2 linked regions of the Drosophila melanogaster genome follow. The protein of the gene in region 2 binds, or shares a complex with, the protein of the main gene of each other region. Each region holds a gene or a part of one and is shown on either strand. Other genes may lie near its edges. The genes, in order: Zwilch and Zw10.

The links.
Region 1: Zw10 (region 2) and Zwilch share a complex: the UniProt entries of both Drosophila melanogaster proteins name them as parts of the RZZ complex.

Annotation. Positions count from the first base shown.
Region 1 is NT_033777.3:31,210,195-31,215,154, forward strand, and holds Zwilch (zwilch), read right to left. Parts: upstream 3,183-4,960; 5' UTR 3,096-3,182; coding exon 1,989-3,095; intron 1,932-1,988; coding exon 1,436-1,931; intron 1,375-1,435; coding exon 1,120-1,374; intron 1,059-1,119; coding exon 991-1,058; 3' UTR 772-990; downstream 1-771. Other genes in the region: chp (chaoptin), read right to left, coding at 67-69; CG1542 (uncharacterized protein), read left to right, coding at 3,350-3,415, 3,478-3,561, 3,620-4,393; CG15561 (uncharacterized protein), read right to left, coding at 4,614-4,960. UniProt on the Drosophila melanogaster protein: Essential component of the mitotic checkpoint, which prevents cells from prematurely exiting mitosis. Required for the assembly of the dynein-dynactin, Mad2 complexes and spindly/CG15415 onto kinetochores.
Region 2 is NC_004354.4:2,602,500-2,607,627, forward strand, and holds Zw10 (Zeste-white 10), read left to right. Parts: upstream 1-1,697; 5' UTR 1,698-1,803; coding exon 1,804-3,153; intron 3,154-3,214; coding exon 3,215-4,030; 3' UTR 4,031-4,325; downstream 4,326-5,128. Other genes in the region: Klp3A (Kinesin-like protein at 3A), read right to left, coding at 1-123, 195-346, 420-1,099; Smyd3 (SET and MYND domain containing, class 3), read right to left, coding at 4,327-4,697, 4,763-5,128. UniProt on the Drosophila melanogaster protein: Essential component of the mitotic checkpoint, which prevents cells from prematurely exiting mitosis. Required for the assembly of the dynein-dynactin, Mad2 complexes and spindly/CG15415 onto kinetochores.

The sequences.
Region 1 (4,960 bases), on a different chromosome or scaffold from region 2:
GTAGTTCAATAGCAATTTAGATTTAGTTTAGCAGGATATCAGGCCATTTTGTTGGCCAATACACACCATTTTGCTGTAAATTAAATTAGACACTCGCGACACTTGGCGATTTAAACAAACTTAATTAAGATTTCACGGGCACTGTTCACTCTTCACTCTTTAGTCAACTGTCCAAAAAATTTGATTTGATTTCCAGCTCCCAGTGGCTATATTCCCTGGCCAGGACACTCGCGTGGAAATCCTTGCTTGAAATTCCGTTCGCTTTTCAGGGGAAAAACAGGGCTGGAAAAAACACGACCGAACCGCTGCGCGTTCCACGCACGTCTGACAAACTGCAAATCAATCAGCGACGGGCCAAGTACTCTAGTTGGCCAACTGGCGCATCCGGCTAATTGGATTGTAACATATCGGGAATGCTCGATGGCGCCGTCACCATTGGGCACACACTCTTTTCGCCTCATTTGCAGCATTACTTCACTGGAGGAATGGCCAAATGCTGGTCATGCTGACCTTTGTATAGAATATGGCCGGCAAAAACACTGTGATAAAAGTGCGAGCAGGGCGGAAGCGGATTTCGGCCAGGTTTTCAAGATTCCCAATGCAGCTGCAATAGCCTCTGGGTCGGCTTAAAACTTGTACGAGTTCGTTTAACATGATTTCGGTGTGCACTGCTGACTTTTTTGGAGGTTTGCGAAAACGCGTCGAAGAGCGTGTTCAACAAGCTCAAACAATTAAAATTCCGAACAAAAAGGTTCGATAGAAAAAAAGTTTGAAAAGTTATAACCAAAAGGCATTTAATTTAATAATACAACAAGCAGTGTTTGAAAAAATTCAACATTTTAAATGTGTCTCAAAACATTATGCAGCTAAGGGACATTCTTGCTAGATATCCATTAAATAAATTATTACAATGTGAAAAAGGCCATTTTAAACCATTCTTAGCCATGCTTAAATTTAAAGAATGTACAATTTTGTATTACTAAGCAAGCCTTACTTAAGTGAGCGAATCTTGTGATATATCCAGGAATGATATGTGCGCTCCTTGACCATCTCCTTGTCTGCGAAGTCAAATATATTACCATAGCTATAGAAAATAAACAAGTCAAAAAGCAAACTTACCATCACACTGGAAACACTGAGCCAAGTTCGGCGGACAAATGTTTTCCGAATTGAAATAGAAGGTGGTCTTTAGTTCGCGGAACTTGTTGTGCGAACGCATGGTAATGTGCCGGGAGTAGGGATCCTTGCCATCCAAGTGATCCCTCACATAGTGGGCAGACAGGCGAATGTCCATAACATCACTTAGCTGATCATCGATGGATTCTACTAATTTAGGCGGTTTCTTCAGCAATTCAGAACAGACATCGTTGTAAACTGTAGGTCAAAAACGGAGTTATAGCTAAAAATCCCAGGATCTGCTTTTTGTCCTTCTTACCATTTGCCAGATTTAAGTGGATGTGCATCATCAGGAGATGCTCTAAGGTGCAGTGAATCTGAAACAACTTTGAGATTCTCTCCGTACTCTCGTGCTCGTCGAAATGGCTGTTTTTGAACCCAGCATCATCGTCGCTACCGGCATATTTTGTACTCCGCGAATTGACAGCGCCGTGATGATGCAGCAGCGTCTTTCGCATTCCAGCTCCAGGGGTCGGATCACCCCTGACCGCATTGTGCAGGGATTTTCGAAGCTGGGGCAGATTCTGGGGAGAACCATCGTCCATCGACGCTCCGCTGGAGTCATCCTTCAACAGATTGGTGCTGCACATCTTGCTCTCGGTGTAGATAAACTCGTAGTCCTTGTACAACTTCTCCAGGCCAATTTCCAAAAGCAGTTCCAGAGGCTCGGCCCCACTTAAACAAGGCATGGCCAGACGACGGTTGGCCAACTCGGTGATAATCTTGGCAAGTCGATTTTTGTTAGTAGGCGTGTTCTATGGGGTGAGGAACATGAATAATATGTGGTGGTTTGCATGCATTAGCATACTTACTACTATGTTACACCGTGCAGCACATTGGAAGAGCATACTAAAGGCAATTTTGAGATCCTTGTAGGAGTGGCAGCACTTGAGCAGCTCCCAAAGCTTATCGGTTAGATCCGTGAGCTGGCGAACCTTGGCCCTCTGCACCACATCTTCGATGTCAAACTCCGCATTGCTGATGCTATACCGACCTATAAGGCCAGAGACATCTGTCATTGTCTGATTAATGGACTCGCGCAGCTCGTCCATGTCAATGCCACTGCCACAACGATAGGTGGGATCCCGAGAGACGCCCTGCTTGACATCCGTGTGGTAGGAGACGATGTCCTCGCGTATGTAGACCAGAATGCGCAGCTGATTCATAAAGTCCTGCGTCAAAGGACCGCAGTCGCCCACGCGAAAAGTGTGATTCAAAGCCACATCGCAGTCGTTCAGGTTCACCAGGAGCGGAAGTGCAGCACTAGAGGTCCAGGAGCAGCGTAGTCTCATGTGGGGATTGACCTGGTAGCTATTTTCAATGAGAGTTTCATCCGGTGTCTTGCCATGATGGCGCACCAGGGCTTGCGAGGTTACTAAGTAAGCAGGGCGCACACCCTGGTAGCTAAGTATTCCCCTGGAGAAGTGCGTAGGGTTGAACTCGTACTGGAGCAACTGAGTCTGCCCGAGATCACTGCCGTCGCACAAAAACCACACGGATCCGAGTCCCTCGGCCAGCTGCAGGAACTCGGAGCACACGATGGACCTAGCCTTGTCCACGGGTATTCCGCGTTGATATTCCTCCTCCAGCTTCCAGGGATTCGAGTGATCCAGCTGCAGGTCGATGGACAAGTCGGCTATGGCGTCCACCAGGCAGTCGTCCTTCAAAGGACTTCCCGTCAGATCCAAGTCCGCAGAGCCCTCTTTTTTTGGGGCTGCCCTGGTGGGCGTGGTCCGGAGTCTCGCCACTGCTCCATTGCGATCCTCCTTAAAGACCAGCACAATCTTCTTGCCAGCTTCCGCAGCCCCCACCATGCTCACCAAGTAGGTGGGTGGCGCTCCATAGGTGATCGTGTATGACTCGCCACACCGCCGCATTAGCTCCGCGTAAACGTTTGCCAAGTTCGCAGAAGCCGACATTTTTGGAGCAAATTCGCAAAACAGAAACAAAAAGCGGCAGTATTTGAAAAGCGAAGCGAGAATTGGTTAAACGGTCACACAGCACTTCGCTTTTTAGTGCACCTCAATAATTTTAGCAGTAAGCCGCGTGAAGGTCACACTGCAACATCGATAGCCGATAGACTTAGGCCAGCAACAATCGATAATTCTTATCCCCGCACGTGTTGAAATTGTTTTCTTTTATTTGGATCAGATTTAATTTAGTTAATTCAGACATGTCGGACTTTGAAATGGAGGACAGTGCCTCGGGCTACGACTCAGGGGATAACTCAGATGCCGAGGTAAGTGAGGAACCGAAGAAATGAACACCCCGTATACCAAAATCTCCACTCTTTTCCTGCAGCTGCAAGCGGCATTTGAGCGAGGCGACTTGAAACCAGGCCTAAATGTGGAATTCAATGGCCAGAGAGACAAAGTGAACGATGTGGTAAGTAGCTAGCTGGATGCCCGCTTTTGAATCGACTAATCCAATCCTGCCCACATAGACCAAACTGCTGGCCAAGACAGAGGCTATCAAGATGCAACTGCCTTGGCTGGAACGCCTGGACATGATCAACACACTAGCTCCACTGGCGCCGGAACTCGCTGTACAGCTGGAGAAGCACGAGCAGAAGCGGGCCAATCTCTTCAAGGGCAACGCCAAGCTGCCCTACATTCGGCCCGAGGAGGATCCCGTCCTGAATGACTTCAAGAGGGAGATGCTCTTCCACCGACAGGCGCAAAGTGCTGTTCTGGAGGCCATTCCCCGCCTTCACGAGCTGGGCATAAAGACTCGTCGACCCGATGACTACTTCGCTGAAATGGCCAAGTCCGACGAGCACATGCAGAAGGTGCGCGCCAACCTGATGGCCAAACAGCAAGGACAGGCGAAATCCGAGCGCATCAAGCAGATCCGCGAGCAGCGCAAGATGGGCAAGATGCTGGCCAAACAGACCAAGGTCCAACGCGAAGCCGAGAAGAAGGACATGCTGGACAAACTGAAGAAGTTCCGCAAGGGCAAGCTGAAAAACCTGGACTTCCTGGAGGACGCCAAGGCGCTTGAGTCCAAGCAGAAGCAGTCAGCCGAGAATCGCAAGAAGCGCAACAAGAAGTTCGGCTTCGGCGGCAAGAAGAAGGGCCTCAAGAGGAACACAAAGTCCTCCTCCGCGGGATTGGATGGCGACAAGTCCTCCAGGCGCCAGCGGGGCGTAAAGGCAGGTGCTTCGGTCAACAAGCGGCTTGGCAAATCGCGACGCATTAAGGCCAAGGGCAGAAAGTAATCCCCGGGACTGCCGACTATATTTAGGTGACCAAACTCTAGTTTTATAAAGCCCCCAATCCTGTATAGATTTTTTAGACCCATAAATACATAACATTTTGTGTGCACACAGCCTTACTTTCGAAATGTGGAATACTCCGTATAGAATTTTAGAATTCCATGAGCAATTTTCATAAATTACATTTTTCTAACATCGTTTATTCTAAAGTGGACTATAACTATTACACGTTCTCCTTGTTCTTTCGTTTCTTTTTTAGTTTTGTGCTAGTTTCCGATTCCTCCGAAGAGTCCGCCGTTTTTCGCTTCTTTTTTGACTTTACTTGTTCATCAGTTTCAACATCCTGGGGCAGTCCTTCAGTTGCTCCAAGCCCTGCTTGCCTATCCGCTCTCTTGTCCTTCTTCTTTTTTATCTTCACTGGCTCTTCGACTTCCACACCGTCTTCCTCTCCCGGCTCCCGTGTCTTATTTTTTTTCCTCTTGATCTTGACGGGATCTTCTGGAGTTTGATGTGCTGGGGATTCCTTTCCTGCCTTCTCAGCCTTGTCTTTCTTCTTTTTCTTGGATTTTA
Region 2 (5,128 bases):
CGTTGTAGTCGGCGGGACTGACGCAAGCAATCATCAGCGTAATGGAATTACCGCCCAGGGAGTCCTGCAGCAGACGCGTCAGCTTGGACTGGCGATAGGGTATGTAGCCAGCGGCCTGGCCAGCTGCAATTTATATGGAATATATAAAAATGGAGATCAATTTTCAAGCCAGTGGCTAAATGATAGATACTCACATCCCAGGGCATTGATCACGTTGCCCAGGGCCAGAAGACCCTTATTGATGTTCACACCCTCTTTGAACCGATCGCCGCTGGCTAGGGTCTTTGAGCAGCGTTCAGAACCAGCCAGATCCACCAGGTTGAACCTGGACGTGGTAACGGATTGCCTATCGGAGATTGGAGGTCAAATGTGTATAAGCATTAAGTATTCTAACGAGGTGATGGCGGCCCACAACATACTTGCCGTCCAGCTTGGTGGCTACTAGCGTCAATGTGAATATGGCATGGGATCTTGAAGAGGTTTCATTCATAGCCGTGGCGGCCACAGCCCGTCCGGCTGAGCCGCGGATCAGATGATCGGTCACTTGCTGGGCGGATGTGACCACTAGCTCGGTGAGGCCCGGCATGATAATACGGTTCTTGACCTCCCTGATGTCTACGGTGGCCTTGTCCCGAGTTTTCGACGAAAAAAGGTCATAGAACTGCTCCTGGTAGAGCTCCACAAAAGAGCATGTGACAGCAAAACGAAATTCGCTCTGCATTTCCGCAATGGCTGTGAATATATCATGAACGGCGCGTGGTATAACGCCCACATGGTCATCTAACACTCCGTTGAAGGCGGTGCCCATAGTGTAGGTCTTTCCGGAACCCGTTTGTCCATATGCCAAGATTGTTACGTTATAGCCATTTAACAGCTTTTTCACTTTGGCCTGTACACACGTCTCGAATAGATCCTTTTGCGAGTCGTCAATGTCGAAGACATAGTTGTACGTATACGACTCATTCCGGTTGACTGTAACCTGTGGCGCTCCATCCGCCGATCGTTCGACGGCAATCCGGCAGCCGCGATCCAACTCGGACTGCACCAAGGGGCGCACGCGCAAGGCCACTGCCACACAGCTGGGATCCTCGCTGGACATCTGGGGGTAGGGGGAGGGAAGGACAATCATAACATTCCATCACCTTTACCGCCATCTCGACCAACACCACCAACCACTTACCTTCTCTGGGGCACAGCAAGTCCGACTTTGGTTAACTGATCAACTGGTTAGCACTTACAAAAACTTAGAATTTTGGTTGGTCTAGATTTTGGAGCAACGCGGCTTCTCCACGCGCAGCCCGGCACTCTCAATGAATTCGATTTTTGGATCAAGGAACTAAACTAATGAAACGCGACGCTAAGAAGCAAATGCATTTCTGCCAGTATTTTTAAAAATGGCGTTGTTATCGATTCGTTGCAGATGTCGATTAGTGGCGCGATCGACGGAGGTGCCGGTGTAGAAAGATTTCGATTTTTTTATAATTTGGCTCTTGAATAGCACATTTGCAAAAATGTGGTTGGACGATTTGTGCACGCCGATTTGACAAAATGAATCATTGACAGTGTATCTACATACTTATACATAAAAATAAAAGCTACCTAGATCTACAACTATTTTAGCTACTGCCAGTGATAAGAGCCCAATTCTTGTCAACTAGCCAATTCGCCGATAGCCGATAGCAGACAGCCGCACATATCTATCGCTTTTTTGAACAATCGTTGGTAGCAACAGGGAATTGCAGAAACCAGTTGTCTTGGGTTTCGCAAGAATTGGAAAAGGAGGATCTGGTCAAAGAGCAGGACATGGAGGAAGAGGCGCCGCGGTTCAATGTGCTGGAGGAGGCGTTCAACGGCAATGGGAACGGGTGCGCCAACGTGGAGGCCACCCAATCGGCCATATTAAAAGTGCTGACGCGCGTTAATCGCTTCCAGATGCGCGTCCGCAAGCACATCGAAGACAACTACACGGAGTTTTTGCCCAACAACACGTCGCCGGACATATTTCTGGAGGAGTCGGGGTCCTTGAATCGCGAGATTCACGACATGCTCGAGAACTTGGGTTCCGAGGGACTGGACGCCTTGGACGAGGCGAATGTCAAGATGGCGGGTAACGGCAGGCAGCTGCGAGAGATCCTTTTGGGTCTGGGTGTCAGCGAGCATGTGCTAAGGATCGACGAGCTGTTCCAGTGCGTGGAGGAGGCCAAGGCCACCAAGGATTACTTGGTGTTACTGGACCTTGTCGGTCGTTTGAGGGCTTTCATCTATGGCGATGATTCCGTTGACGGGGACGCGCAGGTGGCCACGCCAGAGGTTCGACGCATCTTTAAGGCTCTCGAGTGCTACGAGACCATCAAGGTGAAATACCATGTACAGGCATATATGCTGCAGCAGAGCCTCCAGGAGCGCTTCGATCGCCTGGTGCAGCTGCAGTGCAAATCCTTTCCCACATCGCGTTGCGTCACCTTGCAGGTGAGCCGGGATCAAACGCAGCTGCAGGATATTGTGCAGGCTCTCTTCCAGGAGCCCTACAATCCGGCGCGCCTCTGCGAATTCCTGCTGGACAATTGCATAGAACCGGTGATCATGCGCCCAGTGATGGCCGATTACAGCGAAGAAGCCGATGGTGGCACCTACGTTCGATTGTCGCTTTCCTACGCCACCAAGGAGCCCAGCTCAGCGCAGCTTCGCCCGAACTACAAGCAGGTCTTGGAGAACCTCAGGCTGCTGCTGCACACGCTGGCCGGGATCAACTGCAGTGTGTCCAGGGACCAACATGTTTTTGGCATTATTGGCGATCATGTGAAGGATAAAATGCTGAAATTACTGGTGGACGAGTGCCTGATACCAGCTGTGCCCGAAAGCACGGAGGAGTATCAGACATCCACGCTGTGTGAGGATGTCGCCCAGCTGGAGCAGCTGCTTGTAGACTCATTCATCATCAATCCCGAGCAAGATCGAGCCCTAGGGCAGTTTGTAGAGAAGTACGAGACCTACTACCGCAATCGGATGTATCGTCGAGTTCTGGAAACGGCGCGGGAGATCATCCAGCGCGATCTGCAGGACATGGTGCTGGTGGCGCCCAACAACCACTCAGCCGAAGTGGCAAACGATCCCTTCCTCTTCCCACGCTGCATGATCTCGAAAAGTGCTCAGGTAAGTCGTTCGCTAAACGAAACGATTGATTACGCACTAATGGATTCATTTTCGCCGGCAGGACTTTGTCAAACTAATGGACCGCATTCTTCGCCAGCCCACGGATAAACTGGGCGACCAAGAGGCCGATCCCATAGCCGGCGTCATTTCCATCATGCTGCACACCTACATCAATGAGGTGCCCAAGGTGCACCGCAAGCTGCTCGAGAGCATTCCACAGCAGGCCGTCCTGTTCCACAACAATTGTATGTTCTTCACACACTGGGTAGCGCAGCATGCGAACAAGGGCATCGAAAGCTTGGCGGCGCTGGCCAAGACACTGCAGGCCACCGGTCAGCAGCATTTCCGCGTGCAGGTCGACTACCAATCCTCCATCCTGATGGGCATCATGCAGGAGTTCGAGTTCGAGAGCACGCACACGCTGGGCTCTGGTCCACTGAAGCTGGTGCGTCAGTGCCTTCGCCAGCTGGAGCTGCTGAAGAACGTGTGGGCCAATGTGCTCCCGGAGACCGTGTACAATGCAACCTTCTGCGAGCTAATCAACACATTTGTCGCCGAGCTAATCCGTCGAGTGTTCACGCTGCGCGACATTTCCGCACAGATGGCCTGTGAGCTGAGCGATCTCATTGACGTGGTGCTCCAGCGGGCGCCCACGCTTTTCCGCGAACCAAACGAGGTGGTCCAGGTGCTCTCTTGGCTTAAGCTGCAGCAACTGAAGGCCATGCTGAACGCGTCGCTCATGGAGATCACAGAGCTGTGGGGCGACGGCGTCGGCCCGCTGACCGCCAGCTACAAGTCGGATGAGATAAAGCACCTAATCAGGGCGTTGTTCCAGGATACGGATTGGCGGGCCAAGGCCATTACGCAGATTGTATAGGGCGCGTGCGCCTTTTTTGCGAGCGAGGAATGTTGAACGGCGGATAGACATCACATTTGAGGTGGTAAACGGAGTCTAAATTTGATGATCACCATCAATGTGTCCTTACTTTAATTCCTTGAATTGTTTACCACAAATGCCAAAAGTAATAGAATTTGATAATCTTTAATTCTCCGAATGGTTTCTGTTGTACATAGAAAAGTAATTATCCACAAAAATCCATTCCATTCTTCCCGCAACGCAACACAATATTTAACTTAAGACTTATTTAAATGAATAAAAACAACTAAATCCCATTAGTGCGCCTCTTGTCGCGCTTGTAGAACGAGCATGTATAGCTGCTCAGTAAGCAGTCTGTGATCTCGGCCGTGGGTGACGGTTAGGATGCGTTGGGCCTCCTCCAGATGGTGCAGTGCCTCCTTGGAATGGCCCTCGTAGAGCTGAATCTTGCCCAGCTTCATGTGAAGCAGGCCCAATAGCGGATTCCAGGGTCCGTGGTATTTTCGAAAGCCTGGCAGCAAACGTTGCCCGTAATCCAGGGCGTCGCTCCACTTGCCCACTTCGATGGCTGCTTCGAAGGCCGCATCGAGCGTCTTGACGTACCACACATTCAGGGGATGGAACACGCCAGTCTGCTTGTCCAGACACACCTTGCACACATCGAGATCTGTGATCGAGAGAGTGAAAATGTGCTTATTATGGAGCTAATTCCATTTCGTCGCATCTACTCACAGGCCACGTCCTTCATGTTCTCCAGATTGTGCCGGGTCAGAGTCATCGCCTCGTTGAAGGCATTTCTCAACTTGGGACTGATGCCGGCATCGCATCGCGGGCAATTATTGCGGTCCACACTGATTCCCGCACCGCAGTTGCGATTGGGACACAGGGCAGCCAGCATCTCCTTCGATTCCTTGGCATCCGTGCACTTGCTGCACACGCATAGGAAGTAGTAGTGCTCCTTGAGGTCCAGACGCCTCTGCTCCGGCGTATTGAGCAGGTCGATGTAGCTGATGAAGATTTTCGACCAGTCCAGGCATTCCATGTCCTCGATCGCGTGGACGTGCAGCTCGTTGCCCTCGAAGGTGGCGACCGCATTTG